Linked DNA regions of Saccharomyces cerevisiae S288C. Each later gene encodes a partner of the first gene's protein in a complex. Each region holds a gene or a part of one and is shown on either strand. Other genes may lie near its edges. A codon is read from its position in the direction of its gene.

Region 1 (10,178 bases):
GGCTCAACAGGGCCATTCCAAACTCTTTCAATAAACTTTTGTATAGGATGTTTCCTTTTTAATAGTAACCATTTTGACTTACTGTTTTCTCTCCCTTCTTCATCAAGCATACTTTCCATGTCTGTATTGGAAAAGTTCTGCAGTTGTATAGACTCAGTCACACGGTGCTGTCCATCGCAATCACTTGAAACGCCAGGGTCTGTGGCTTCCCACGTTGTGTTAGCATTATCATCAAAATGCACACCCATTCAATTCAATGCTAAATGGTCTATCTCTCACAAGTCTAATACTGGTTGAATTGTGCCTTAGTTATTTATATAATTGAATGTATTTTGCGATTTTACACTCTTTACGGTATTTAGCTGTTTTCTTCTACACCCCAGAGTAATTTTTTTGCGACGGTAAATCTGGAAAATAATCATAGAATACAATGAGAAAGAATGTAAAAGAAATAATTTTATTAGCGTACATGATTGTGTATATGTTTTGTTTAAAAAAGTTTATTTAAAAAAGGTCTTAATACATACTAACGAAAAGAAACCGCTCCAAGTTAGATAAGGAAAGGGAAAAATGCCACCAGAAAGAATCAACCGGAACATGACTCACAAGCTTCTGGAGTAGGAGCAGTACAAGCAATCACCTTTTCATTGTAAATGTCACATTTCTTCTCGTCGGAATCTTCTTTTATTGTTTCCGTTGGAACTGCTGGGGCAACACTATCTTCCAATTTCACATTTGACATGGCACTCGACACCGATGATTGTTCGGATGGAACTGGAGATGCATCCTTCTCATTATCTGAGCTTTCGGTAAGCGCAGATGCCGCCTTTTGTTCAGAGAATTTTGTACCCTTTGGAACATAAACTGGACGATCCAATTCTGAGACGGAAGCAATATGTGTAGCGGCTTGATCGGCAACCTCTTGATCAATGGTAAATTGAATAGCAGCGGAGGCGGCTTGCGTTCTTAAGTAGTACATACCAGTTTTTAAACCCTTCTTCCAACCGTAGAAATGCATACTAGTAATCTTACCCATTGATGGTGCTTGCAAGAAAAGATTCAAGGAATGAGACTGATCGATGTAGATGGCACGATCAGCAGCCATATTGATAATGGTCTTTTGAGAGATTTCCCAGACGGTTTTGTATAATTCCTTCAATTCTTGTGGCACATTTGGTAAGCCTTGAATAGAACCATTTTGTGTAATTAGATATTGTTTCATACTATCATCCCAAATACCCAGGTCGACTAAATCACGTAGTAAATATGGATTAACAACTTGGAATTCACCAGACAGGACACGACGAGAGTACATGTTTGAGGTCACTGGTTCGAAGCATTCATTATAACCAAGAATTTGGGAAGTTGAGGCGGTTGGCATTGGTGCCATAGTCAAAGAGTTTCTTAACCCATGTTTAACAATGTCCTTTCTTAAGGTTTCCCAATCCCACATGCCAAATGGTTTAGCGTTCCACATATCGAATTGTAAAATACCCTTAGAAGCTGGAGAACCTTCAAAAGTAGAATATTTACCTTCTTTTTGGGCCAATTCACAGGAGGCTTCAAGAGTAGCATGGTAAATAGTTTCGAAGATTTGTTTGTTTAGAGTTTGAGCTTCTTCCGATTCAAAGGGTAGACGCAACATCATATAAGTATCGGCCAAACCCTGGACACCAAGAGCAATAGGTCTATGCTTCATATTTGAATTTCTAGCCTCGGGAACTGGATAGTAATTACGGTCGATAACTCTGTTCAAGTTGTGAGTAATGACTTTAGCAATCTCGTGTAATCTCTCGAAATTATAGCTTGCAGTTTTACCATCTTCTGAAACCTCAACGAATGCTGGTAGGGCAATAGAAGCTAAATTACAAACTGCAGTTTCATCCGGGGAGGAATATTCGACGATTTCACAACATAAATTAGATGATTTGATAGTACCTAAGTTCTGTTGGTTTGTCTTCCTGTTACATGCGTCCTTATAAACCATGAAAGGTGTACCTGTTTCTGTCTGTGCTTGCAAAATGGCATACCACAACTTTTGGGCTTTAATTGTTTTACCACGACCTTCTCTTTCGTAACGAGTATATAGTTCTTCAAATTCATCACCCCACACATCATCTAAACCTGGGGCAGCACTGGGCGAAAACAAAGTCCAAGGCCCATCCTCTTGAACACGTTTCATGAAAAGATCAGGGATCCATAGAGCAGGGAACAAATCTCTTGCACGAATTTCTTCCTTACCATGTGTTTTTCTGATATCGACAAAGTCGAAGATATCTGCATGCCATGGCTCCAAGAAAAGGGCGAAAGCACCAGGTCTCTTGTTACCACCCTGGTCCACATAACGGGCAGTATTATTGAAAACACGAATCATAGGAATCAACCCGTTTGAAGTACCGTTGGTACCAGCGATATAAGAACCTGTGGAACGGATGTTGTTGATATGAAGACCAACACCACCTGCAGTTTTGGAAATCATAGCACATTCTTTCAAAGTATCATAAATACCTTCGATAGAGTCATCCTTCATGGCAATTAAGAAACATGAAGACATTTGAGGATGTGGCGTACCAGCGTTGAATAAAGTTGGGGAAGCGTGAGTGAAGTATCTTAACGACATCAAATTATAAGTCTTCAGCACAGATTCGATATCGCTACCATGGATACCTAGCGCCACACGCATTACCAAATGCTGAGGACGTTCTGCCACTTCACCGTTCAGTCTTAGCAAGTACGAACGCTCCAGTGTCTTGAATCCGAAATACGTATACTGGAAATCCCTATCGTACACGATGGCCGAGTTCAAAGTATCTTTGTTTTCCATGACAATGTTGTAAATTTCGTCCGAAATCATAGGAGCATGCTTTCCAGTAGCTGGGTTAATCCAGTCGTGTAAATCCTCAATAACTTTGGAGAATTGCTTTGTGGTTTGCTTATGTAAGTTAGAGATGGCGATTCTAGCGGCTAGAGTGGCATAATCAGGGTGCACAGTGGTCATGTATGCACATGTTTCAGCTGCAAGATTGTCCAGCTCAACGGTAGTAACACCGGAGTACACACCAGAAATAATACGTTGGGTTACCTTAACAGCATCAATACGGTTTGGGTCTAAACCGTATGACAAACGGGTGATACGGGAGGTAATTTTATCGAATTGAACGGGCTCTTTGCGGCCGTCTCTTTTAATAACGTACATTTGTGTGGGAGTATTTGATTTATTGCTGCTGCTATTCTTGCTTGTCATATTTATTTCAACTTGGATATGAGATGAGAGAAAGGCAAGGAAGAAGGCAAAAGAAGGCAAAATAGCAGTGCGTTTATATACGTTTTGCAGCAGAACACGAAACAATATAAAGAACGCTGACACGAAAAACGAAACGCGTCAGCATCTCACAATACAGTATTACGATTTAACAATAGACTATTGTTTTTTTCCCATCTTGTCGTTTGGTCCTCGCCATGGCAACCGGGTTTTTGCCCCTTTGAGCAGCGCCTAGGTGTCGTTGCTGCGACAACCACGAAAAAAAAAAAAAAAAAAAAACAAAAGAACAACGGCACGCAATGTTGCTGTGACAACCGTAGGCAGATAACTTGGCTTTTTTTACTACTTTAGGAAAATTAGCAGCCAAGAACGAGGGCTTGCTCTGCTACCTAGTTCAAACTGAAACAAGCCTTCACTTTCTTTTCTTTTCTTTTTTTTTTTATCTAACAACTGAAGATTAAATGATAAATGTTTACGCGTGCGTGCGATTCATTCTTATGTATGTACGTATGTGCTGATTTTTTATGTGCTTGTTACCTTCTCTTGTTTCTTAAGAAGAAACTAGCCACGGCCACAGCGCCGGCTAGTACGCCTCCAGCGACGACAACACCCTTGAGTGTTTCCTTCTGGATCTTATCCTCTACCATACTCTTCAAAGCGCCCACCTGCTTGTTATTACGCTCATGCTCAAATAAAGTGTCTACATATCTCTTCGCCATAGAGTATTCACCGAGTTTGTAGCAACCTATGGTCAGATAATATAGGCATTCTCGTCTACGGGACTCGGCCTCTTTGTAAATGTCTGTGAGGATTTTCACACCAAGCCTTTCGTCATTCACGTCAGTGGATTTGATCAGCCCCCATGCGTAGTTAAACCTTGACTGTATGGTAGCGGTGGGCCCCCCCTCGGAGACGACTTGCTGGCGCAGAATCTCCAGCTGCTGCGGATAGAGTGGTTCGTATGCGTCCTTAAGAGTTGGCCAAAAATCTACTTTGGTCATACTTATGTTGTATGGCTGTGCTCTGATCTGTGCTTCTATGTGCCGTTTTTACGCAAGGTATATGATAACTTCTGTGCAGAATAGTGGCAATGGCAGCTTTGCTTTGAAAGGGGTCCAGCCTAGCCCGCTTGCGGTGTTCCGGCATAAATGCGCAAAAAGATTGGTTCATGAAAAGAAGTGAAAAAAAATCGATGAGCTCAGCTCTTAAGAACGGTATTATGGAACGAACTCAACCCGAAAAGGTAGTACAGATGCAGGGCACGGCAGATTTGAGCACTTCGAAACTTGGTACGAAAAAATACTGGGATGAACTGTATGCCCTGGAGCTGGAGAATTTCAGGCGGAATCCGCAGGATACCGGGGACTGTTGGTTTAGCGATAGCGATGCTGAACAAAAGATGATTGATTTTCTGGTAGATAACATTGGTGCGTACAGAATTTCTGAGAATGCTTCTGTTGTAGACCTCGGTACAGGTAATGGACACATGTTATTTGAACTGCATCAAACGGAATTCCAAGGGAAACTGGTCGGGATAGACTATTCTGAGGAAAGCGTCAAACTCGCTAGTAATATAGCCGAGGCCACCGGTGTTGACAATTTCATCAGTTTCCAGCAAGCAGACATCTTTAGTGGTGACTGGAAGCCGGGAAAGTATGACATTGTGTTGGATAAAGGGACCCTAGATGCCATTTCATTGAGTGGCATGAAGATCAACGGTAAACTTGATGTAGTCGATGTATACGCCGGAGTAGTGGAAAGGATTTTGAAAAAAGACGGTATTTTCTTGATCACTTCTTGTAATTTCACACAAGATGAACTAGTAAAGATCATAGAGACTGATAATTTGAAAATGTGGAAAACAATAAAATACCCTGTTTTCCAATTTGGCGGGGTCCAGGGTGCGACCATATGTAGTGTAGCATTTGTTAAACAAAACTGATTTGTTTTTATCTTTGATTTATTTTTAACGTTATTTCTCTTTACTTATTTAGGAACGGATTTAACTATAATGTTATACAATTCATCCGTGGTTTCCTTCTTACCAGTCTTTATGGCGTACTGTGCAGGATCACCGTTATCATCTACTGCTAGTAATCTTATGAATTTTTCGCTTTGCAAAGAACCTGTAAATCCTTTTTGCACAGTGAACCCCTTGACCAGTTGGATGTTTAAAATGACTTTTAAGATACCACGAGACCTCATAACAATACGCGTCTTCTCGACGTCGTCCTTACTTTTATTGATTTTGATGATACCAACACCTCTTTCCTTCCAGCCTTCTTTTATGTTGGAAAGTTGGTACAGCTTCGCATTGACTTGATATATGCACTCCTCAGACTCTTCACCAGACTTGACTTCCTGTTTCTGCAATTTGAGGGGTTTTGGTTTGTCTTTTGTATCTTCTGAGGCATTCGCTAGTTGTTCAGATCCACTATGGACTTTATCTTTGTCAACATCAGTAGCTTTCTTTTCACTTTCAGAGTTATTTTCTGTTTTGTTTTTCAGTATGTTGAAGCCGCTGCCAAATGATAAACCTGAACCAAATGCAAATGGCTTCTTTGTTTTGCTGTCAGAGGCTGGTAAACTTTCAGTACTGGTAGTTGCATCTCCATCTTTCGTGTCCTTTTTGGCAACACCAAACCCAGTTCCAAATTTAGATGCGGCACCAAACACGAATTTATCCTCCTTTTTGTCATCTTCCACAATACCAGATTCTACGGTCTTTCCGTCGTCAACCTTGATCTTCTTATGCGATGGTTCTTGGTCTTTTTTACCTTCCTCCTTTTTCTCCTCATCATTTTTATTGGGTGCTTCTGATTTGTCACTCGTTTCTTCCGCTTGTTCATCCTGATCTTTTTCCCTCGGTCTCTTAGGAGTTCCATCTAGTTTATCGATAGGATTTTCAACTGCAGTTTGTTTCACCTCAGAATTTTCCCTGGCTGCATTGCCACCATTGGTCTCACTCATGCTCTCAAAGTTTATGCGTACTTGTTTTGTGCAAATTGATTTGTTGACATTTTGGTTTGAGTAGCAACTGAGCTTTTTAAAATCCAGGCATTTATATCTTCAACCTCGCCAAACAATGTCAATTTTTTTAAAAAAAAACTCAATACCTACATCACCGCGAAATGCCTGAAGTAAAAGCATATAACAAACGCGACCCTTAAAATTACGTATATATATGTATATTTCTTTATACTAAGTTTTACTGGGCAGAGTATCATACAGTTCTTCTATCCGATATATAATGAACGATAGGTGTGACACCACTGACTTGAGTAATTCTTTCCAGCCACGCAAGCAAGACACCCCCTTGTTTCTGGCCCTGAGGTACGGACATTCCTTTGTAGAGATACTTTACCAGCACGTCCCTCTGAGAATCACTCAAATTTTTGATTACATTACCAATATCGGCTTGCCTGACTTGTGTCAATGCTTCAAGGACGCTCTTAAAATATTGCTCCTTTGTTGGAGCATCTGCACTGTATGGAGGATCGGTTGTGAGTAATTGAACGGCTCCCAAAGAGTCACCACTTGTGGCAAGCGAGCGCAATTGATTCATTCGAGGTTGTAATTCTTGTAATGTGACAGTAGTTTCGTATGGTGGTACCAGATCGGCAGCGGTTAGTCTGCCACTCTCTGGATCAAATGCATCGATGTCAATTCTCCTCCAATCGGCTTCCATTGCTTGATCGTTCGCGTGTGTTGTGTTGAGTCTTCTCTGGTCTCCTTTGCTATAGTATCTTGTGTTAAATGCGGGCTGTTTTTCTCTTATTTTGTTATAGGGGCAAAGTCTGAGAAAGGGAAAAAAGTATCCAAATTAACTGATGTGCGGGTAATCATAGACAACAAGTAGCAGAGTTTAAGTATTACTTATATTCAATAGTCGGGCGCTTCTTTGGGAGCTGGTTGAGACTCTCGAGTCCGTGAGTTTCTAGATTTATATACAGAAGTAACAGCAGCAGTAGGAGTGGCGGCGGAGAGCAATGGCCTGTTTCCACGGTACCTCGCGTCCAATGTGGAACTGCCGTATCTATCAGCGCTATATGCGGAGGAAGAAGTTTCCCTGCGTGGCAGCCTGGGAGCATAATTTCTTTCGGCGGGATTTGATGTACTTGCGCTTGCAAACCTTCCTGGAAGCCTGCTGTCTCTGTTGGAATAGCCTCTGCCTCCTAGGCCGCCGCCCAATCTTCTTGGCTTGAAATATTTAACGGTTCTGCCTCTTTCTATGTCGACTATGCAGATTCTGTCTTTGATTTGGATACCTCTGTGTACTCCAATCTCCTTGAATGCCATTTTACTACTTATTGGGTCTTTGAAAACTATGAAGGCGTAGCCTTTACTCTTCTGGGTTATCTTGTCCTTGACTATCCTAATTTTTTCGATCTCGCCAAACTTAACAAAATACTTTTGCAGTTCAATTTCGTCAAGATCGTATGGTAGCCTCCCAATAAATATCGTTCTGTAGGGATCTGTGTCCTTGATATGAGGGTCAACGTTAGGATTCCAATTTTGTAGTCTCCGGTCTAACAATTGAGCATTTTTGATCTTGGAAAGTTTGATGTCTTCGTATCTTTGGAGATGGTTGTTTGGAGATCCTTCAGGAAACTCCTCCATATAGTGCTTCAAAGAGGTTGATAGTAAGTTTGCAACGCCAGTGATATTTGGATTTGTTTGTCTCTTCGCATATGGGTAATCGGTTGGTCTTTTGTAAGATAAAGGTGGCCTTGGCTTGAAAAGTCTCGACACGTCGTCTGGATACTTGGATAGATTATAATTCATCAAGGTTGAGGTGCCGATTACTTTTTTAAGGTTTCCTTTCGACAGTCGATGACCGTGCTGTGTGTCATTATCTTGCAGTTCTTTTTTTCTTCAGATGCGTTAATTTCCTACGAAGGGCGCATACAATGGTGCTGATGGGATTTATGAGCAAAACAAGTAGGCGAGCAAGACATGAACGAAATTGTAATGAAGCGTACTTCCTTTTCCCTACAACCTTAAAAAGGTCTCACTGATATATCCATTCGCAATAATGACAAGATTTTTGCATGGGACTTCTTTTTTTCTTTTGAATAAGTCGCGTTATAAGGACAAAACATTAAAAAAAAATATGTATTGATTCACTGATTTATATATACAGAAGTAAGTACCGGGGTACCTAAATATACGCATAAAAGTCTCTTTCTTTTTTTTTTTTTTTTTTTTAGCTTCCTACATTTCGTTAATAATATTATATAGATTATATTTATATTTAAGAAAAGTAATATCAGCATATTATGAATAGACAAAAAAGTCTAAGGTCAAGATTTATTAAATGTTAGATTATTAAGATTACAATTAACAACATTTGTTGTTACTTCATAAAATTTCGTTACTTCATAAAAGAACTACAGTCCCCCACTTCTAAATGAGTGGTTGTAGGGGTTCATATACCTCCCATACTGTTGGAATAAAAATCAACTATCATCTACTAACTAGTATTTACGTTACTAGTATATTATCATATACGGTGTTAGAAGATGACGCAAATGATGAGAAATAGTCATCTAAATTAGTGGAAGCTGAAACGCAAGGATTGATAATGTAATAGGATCAATGAATATTAACATATAAAATGATGATAATAATATTTATAGAATTGTGTAGAATTGCAGATTCCCTTTTATGGATTCCTAAATCCTCGAGGAGAACTTCTAGTACATTCTACATACCTAATATTATTGCCTTATTAAAAATGGAATCCCAACAATTATCTCAAAATTCACCAACTCTTCACATACATACCTGCGGTAGCAAGATAGGTACACTTTTTCTACGTTTCACGAAGGTAGCGATAGGTACCTCACTCATTGTAGGTGCGGGGGTAGCGATGGAGGTTTCTGTACCATTACCACCACAGCCACTATACTCACGTAGTGAAGTCCCTAGCGTGGAATTGTGTGGTATCGTTGCTATCTGTCGTTCGCCACCCTCGGTATATCCAACGTGCAGGCCAATATCACTCTCTAAGAAAATCGTATCAGGATTGGTACGGACAAACTCTTCATAGCCTACGTCGAAATCAAATTCTGCTAAAGCTGTGACTGTAGTTAAACCTAAAACCGCGATTATTGCTTGAAAAACTGTGGAGAAATTCATGATGGACGGTCACGTTCAGGGTCTGAGAAAACCACTCATTCCTATGTCCCATGTGGTTGGTTGCAATTTGCTGCTATATATACGACTTGGCTGTAGAGAGATCTACGTAGGATGTGTCCACTATCAAGGGGGGTTTACCAACGTTATCTTCTATTTTAAGTGCTCAAATGAAGGTTGCATTATATCCCTGGCAGTTTTCCCGGCAATTTTGCCGGCCGCTTATAATAGTCATGGTGAAAGGATTGTTGCTTGTTGTGGTTGCAACATGACAGTTGCCTACTAACTAAATAATAATCAAAGTCAGTTTCTCAACAATGGAAAACCTGTTGTGACCTTATCGAAGTAACAACATCGTATAATAATTAATCTGGAAAAAATACCATAGTTACTGCCGATACAGGTCTACGTGACTTACTGACAAACAGACTGAGTGACTACGAGTCCAGAAATTTAGTATACCATATTGTCGCTTCTTCTTATAGCCCAGCTCCAGGTCTGGATACGGTTCTGTATAACTCGTTAAGGTTTAAGTGTCCGGCAATTTTTTTGAAGTTTCATTTCTTCACTCGATGACCAAGCCGTGTGCCATCTTTTCGTTTTCTTTTTTTTCAATGTGTTTAATTATCTACAAAGAGGGCACACACAATAGAGCTGATGAGAACCCATGAGCGAAACAAGTAGAAAAGCAAGACGTAAACGGAATCATGGTGGTGTGTACATTTCTCTTTTTTTATTACACCAAGAAAGCTTAATTGGTACGTATTGTTCGTGATAG
Region 2 (3,600 bases), on another chromosome or scaffold:
GAATCAAACTTCAAACTTGTAATTCCATCGGTATGGCCTTCTAGTAATCTCACCGGTTTGCCAACTCTTAGATCCCATAGTCGCACAATGCCATCTTTTGTTCCTGTTGCTAATGCAGAGTTGTAACATTGGAGGGCTCCTATCATTGGTGCTTCTGTGCCAAGTAAACATGCACCATTGTTTAATGAACGTGCAGGCATTTTAATGTCGCTATGTGTAGGTGTGAAGATAAGGTCAAGTTGCTGAATACATTTGCCCGTCGTTAAATCCCAGTGGAATATTTTTTTGTCCCTAGATCCGCTAACCAAAGCTTCAGAATCAAAAGACAGGGCTGTGATTTCGTCTTTATGTAACTCAAAATTATGGATACATGGTGTAACAATTTCTTCTGTCTTCTCCTTCAATGGACTATGGTCCAAATATATTTCTCTACTCAGATTTAAGTCCCATAACTTCAGAGTGGCATCCTTACTTCCAGTAATCAACATATTGTAATTTTTCTTATCTATTTGCATGCAATTAACAGTAGCAAGGTGACCAGGCAGCTCTCCAACTTGTATCCCATGGTTCAAATCCCACACTTTTACTATACGATCTTGGTAGCTTGATGAGCACAAGGTTCCCCATGGTGTATCAAAGTCTAATGCGGTTATGCTGTTTCCATGTTCGCCATGGGGTATTGTCATTCTGAAAGCCGTGGTATTTCGGCTATATGTTTCTGAGATAATTTGCCTGTTTTTATCGTGGCTTTTTTCATGGGGCATCTTGTAAAAATCTTTTAATCTCGTATCCTTACTTTCAACATCACATAACGACGATATGGCTTCTTCATTTTGCGTGAAGGACGACGCTTCAGATGATCTTTCTTCTTCCATTTGCTTCCGTAAGCTCTGTTCACGATCAGCTTCCAAATTGTATTCCTCGATAAAATTTATTCTATCCTTTATCAGTGTTACATCATTCTCAAGATTGGTAGACTTACTATCAATGTGCTTAACCCTTTCCAGGATTTTTAATTTCCTGGATTCTAGTTCGTTGATCATGGAATCTAATCTGGTCAACTCATCCATCTCTAACGTTTTATTGATTGACAGATTTTCCACGTTAGTTTCTACATCCTCAAGTAAATGTGTTAGGTCAATTCTAGAGTACGTTTTATTCACAAAACCAGTATTAATATCCGGCAATTGAACGTATTTTTCCTTATCACTATTCGTGGCCCCGTCTACATTGTCTAACAACAGTCTCTGTTGAATGATGGAAACGGTAGCTTTGAATCCTTCAAATAAAGAAGGTAAATTCTTTTCAGCGGCACCGTTGGGTAGCGGGTATCGCTGCTCATCTAAATGAGCAAGTATTCTGAAAGTTGTTGCAGAGTCTGCATAATTGTTTTGAAAGGAAAATATCCCTACTTGTCCTTTCTGGGTATCTTTTGTACTTTCGGGCCAAGCCACCTCTCTGAACAGTAGAAGTTTGGAAAGATATCTGTAGATGGGGCTCGTTATATATTTTTGAAATTGTTGTTGCGCTAGTATGGCATGTGGTAGCTTATTAAGTATAATTTCGATTGGTTTAGCTACCAGAGAGCTTTCTCCTCTAGTATCGCCCGAACCCATATAGAGATACTCTTTTTTACTCTCGCTCGTGGTAATCTTATATGTCATTCATGGTTAGTTTTTTTTTTATGACTATTTTTTTTTTCCATTACGATGAGGAAAGTTTATGTGAGAAACATGAAGCTACATGCTTTAACAGGAGACAGACCCATGGTGGATCCGCTCAGTTGGTTTTATACATTTAGATGTAAGGTAATACATAATTATATGATTTGCAGTGGCCTATGTATGCAATTAGGACAAAGGAAATATCTATTCTTGAGGAGAAGTGCTCCCCTACTCTTGCAAGTTGGCTATCTCCATTTCTAGCCGCCTAATTTCATCTTTTTCTTTTCGAATAATCTTAGCAACGTCGTGAGAAGAAGAAGGATGGTACTGTGACATAGTCTTTAAGCGATCATCTTGAAGCAAAACTTCTTTCTTGATGAAGCGCAATTTGGAAGAAAGTTGTTCATAATTATGGTACAATTGGTCGTAATCCTGCTTGAACTCTGTTAGTGGCCATAAATCTGTTACTTCGGCCATAACTTTAAGAATTAAATCAGTAGGGAAATCCTCGACAAAGATGGTTTTTCTTCTTTGGTTATTGGATTCTTCTTCCATGAGCACGCTTCCATTTTCCAAGGCATATAGGAGCCTTTGAATTTGCGGATCATCCTTGAACACGGCTGATAATGCTTTGAATGTACCTGAACTTGAATTTGAAATGACAGAGGATCCTATAAGATCGGTATCAAAAATAAAACCGTTCAAGCCACCGCCACTTGTAGTGGCGGTTCTTCTCCTTTTATTGTTCAAATCAAGACGATCTTTGTTCAAATATACTTCCTTGGGCACATGGATGATCGGTTTTTCCCCTGGTCTGCCCAGCCTTCTATTTCTTTTCATGTCCGTATCTCGTTTAATAACATAGTCGAATACTCCCTCCTTGCCGTCTCTACGTGAAACGGATTGTTTCTCAGGGTTGACTTTGAACAGAAGATACGCCTCGTCGTGGTTACAGTCCTTTATTAGTCTAGTAATGTCTTTTCTAATGCTTGCCTTGTTGCTTGCTCCCTGTAGGATGGCATTATGAAAAATTCCTGGTGGCTTGAAATAGAGTGTGGACATAGAGTCCACCGCCCTATTAATATCATCTATACATCTATCCAAGCTTTCCCCCATTCTGTAATTGCCACGTCTTATTTTGTTAGGTGATGATCTAATTTTTTTGAGCTTTGTTTATTGATTATTTTCAAATGTCTCTTGCTTATTTTCGCGCTTCCACAAGGTTATACACTGAGCTGTAAATGTAAGGTGTATGGCATATATAAATATATATATATATTCGTAGTGTGAACATTAGGCTAACTGTAACAAAAATCGTTAATCACGCCAGGCTGCGTATACTTCATCGGTTCTGAATTTCTGCGTAACAACAGTTTCAGAAAAGTCCTTCACGATCCCACCCATTCTATACTCTAGTAGTCCTGCTTGGGCAATCATAACTCCGTTATCGATACAAAACCTATTATCTGTAGCATGTACTTGCCCATTGGCCCTGTCTTTACACATTTGCGCCATCATTTCTTGTAATCGCACGTTACAACCAACACCGCCTACGATCAAAACTTGATTGGAGTTAACGTGAGCCATAGCTCTTTCTGTTATTTCAACTAGCATGGCGAATAGGTTCTCTTGCAGAGAGTAGCAAAGATCCTCTACAGTGACTTTTTGCTCGCCCGTTGTCTTGTCGAATAGGATCTTATTTTTCTTATTGCCCTTAAATAGATCCTTGGCAAGTAAATCGATGGAAGCCAATATACCACTCATCGAAAGATCCATCCCCTTTACTGTATAGGGAAGTTCTACCAAGTTTTCTTTGTGAGGGGCTTTTTTAGCTAACTGCTCGATGTTGTAGCCAGGCGAGGGCTCATTAGGTATCTTCAGAGTTCTTGCAAATCTATCAAGACAATTACCGATAGCAATATCAAGCGTTTCACCA

The links.
Region 2: the proteins of FIS1 (region 1) and CAF4 are in contact, whole or in part, in a crystal structure (PDB 2PQR), measured with the Saccharomyces cerevisiae proteins. Residues at the interface, in NP_012199.3 of Saccharomyces cerevisiae: Phe6 (codon at 4,248), Trp7 (codon at 4,245), Pro8 (codon at 4,242), Asp12 (codon at 4,230), Leu17 (codon at 4,215), Gln21 (codon at 4,203), Ile24 (codon at 4,194), Leu25 (codon at 4,191), Ile39 (codon at 4,149), Gln40 (codon at 4,146), Phe43 (codon at 4,137), Asn44 (codon at 4,134), Trp47 (codon at 4,125), Gly48 (codon at 4,122), Lys51 (codon at 4,113), Arg59 (codon at 4,089), Val62 (codon at 4,080), Lys63 (codon at 4,077), Thr66 (codon at 4,068), Ile68 (codon at 4,062), Tyr69 (codon at 4,059), Lys70 (codon at 4,056), Glu73 (codon at 4,047), Ser74 (codon at 4,044), Arg75 (codon at 4,041), Arg76 (codon at 4,038), Arg77 (codon at 4,035), Glu78 (codon at 4,032), Leu80 (codon at 4,026), Tyr82 (codon at 4,020); in NP_012962.3 of Saccharomyces cerevisiae: Ser81 (codon at 1,376), Ala82 (codon at 1,373), Phe85 (codon at 1,364), Arg86 (codon at 1,361), Leu88 (codon at 1,355), Ala89 (codon at 1,352), His90 (codon at 1,349), Leu91 (codon at 1,346), Glu93 (codon at 1,340), Tyr96 (codon at 1,331), Pro97 (codon at 1,328), Leu98 (codon at 1,325), Pro99 (codon at 1,322), Glu104 (codon at 1,307), Leu107 (codon at 1,298), Pro108 (codon at 1,295), Ser109 (codon at 1,292), Leu110 (codon at 1,289), Phe111 (codon at 1,286), Glu112 (codon at 1,283), Gly113 (codon at 1,280), Phe114 (codon at 1,277), Lys115 (codon at 1,274), Thr117 (codon at 1,268), Val118 (codon at 1,265), Ile121 (codon at 1,256), Gln122 (codon at 1,253), Arg124 (codon at 1,247).

The regions. Positions count from the first base shown.
Region 1 is NC_001141.2:237,513-247,690, forward strand, and holds FIS1 (Fis1p), read right to left. Parts: upstream 4,264-10,178; coding exon 3,796-4,263; downstream 1-3,795. Other genes in the region: YIL067C (uncharacterized protein), read right to left, coding at 1-248; ribonucleotide-diphosphate reductase subunit RNR3, read right to left, coding at 587-3,196; EFM4 (Efm4p), read left to right, coding at 4,515-5,204; YRB2 (Yrb2p), read right to left, coding at 5,249-6,232; ARC15 (Arc15p), read right to left, coding at 6,486-6,950; U1 snRNP complex subunit SNP1, read right to left, coding at 7,145-8,047; YIL060W (uncharacterized protein), read left to right, coding at 8,880-9,314; YIL059C (uncharacterized protein), read right to left, coding at 9,038-9,403. UniProt on the Saccharomyces cerevisiae protein: Has a role in mitochondrial fission. Has a role in outer membrane fission but not matrix separation. Required for targeting MDV1 to the mitochondria.
Region 2 is NC_001143.9:509,018-512,617, forward strand, and holds the start of CAF4 (Caf4p), read right to left. Parts: upstream 1,617-3,600; coding exon 1-1,616. Other genes in the region: SPC34 (Spc34p), read right to left, coding at 1,893-2,780; KAE1 (tRNA N6-adenosine threonylcarbamoyltransferase), read right to left, coding at 2,982-3,600. UniProt on the Saccharomyces cerevisiae protein: Involved in mitochondrial fission. Has a partially redundant function to MDV1 in acting as an adapter protein, binding to FIS1 on the mitochondrial outer membrane and recruiting the dynamin-like GTPase DNM1 to form mitochondrial fission complexes.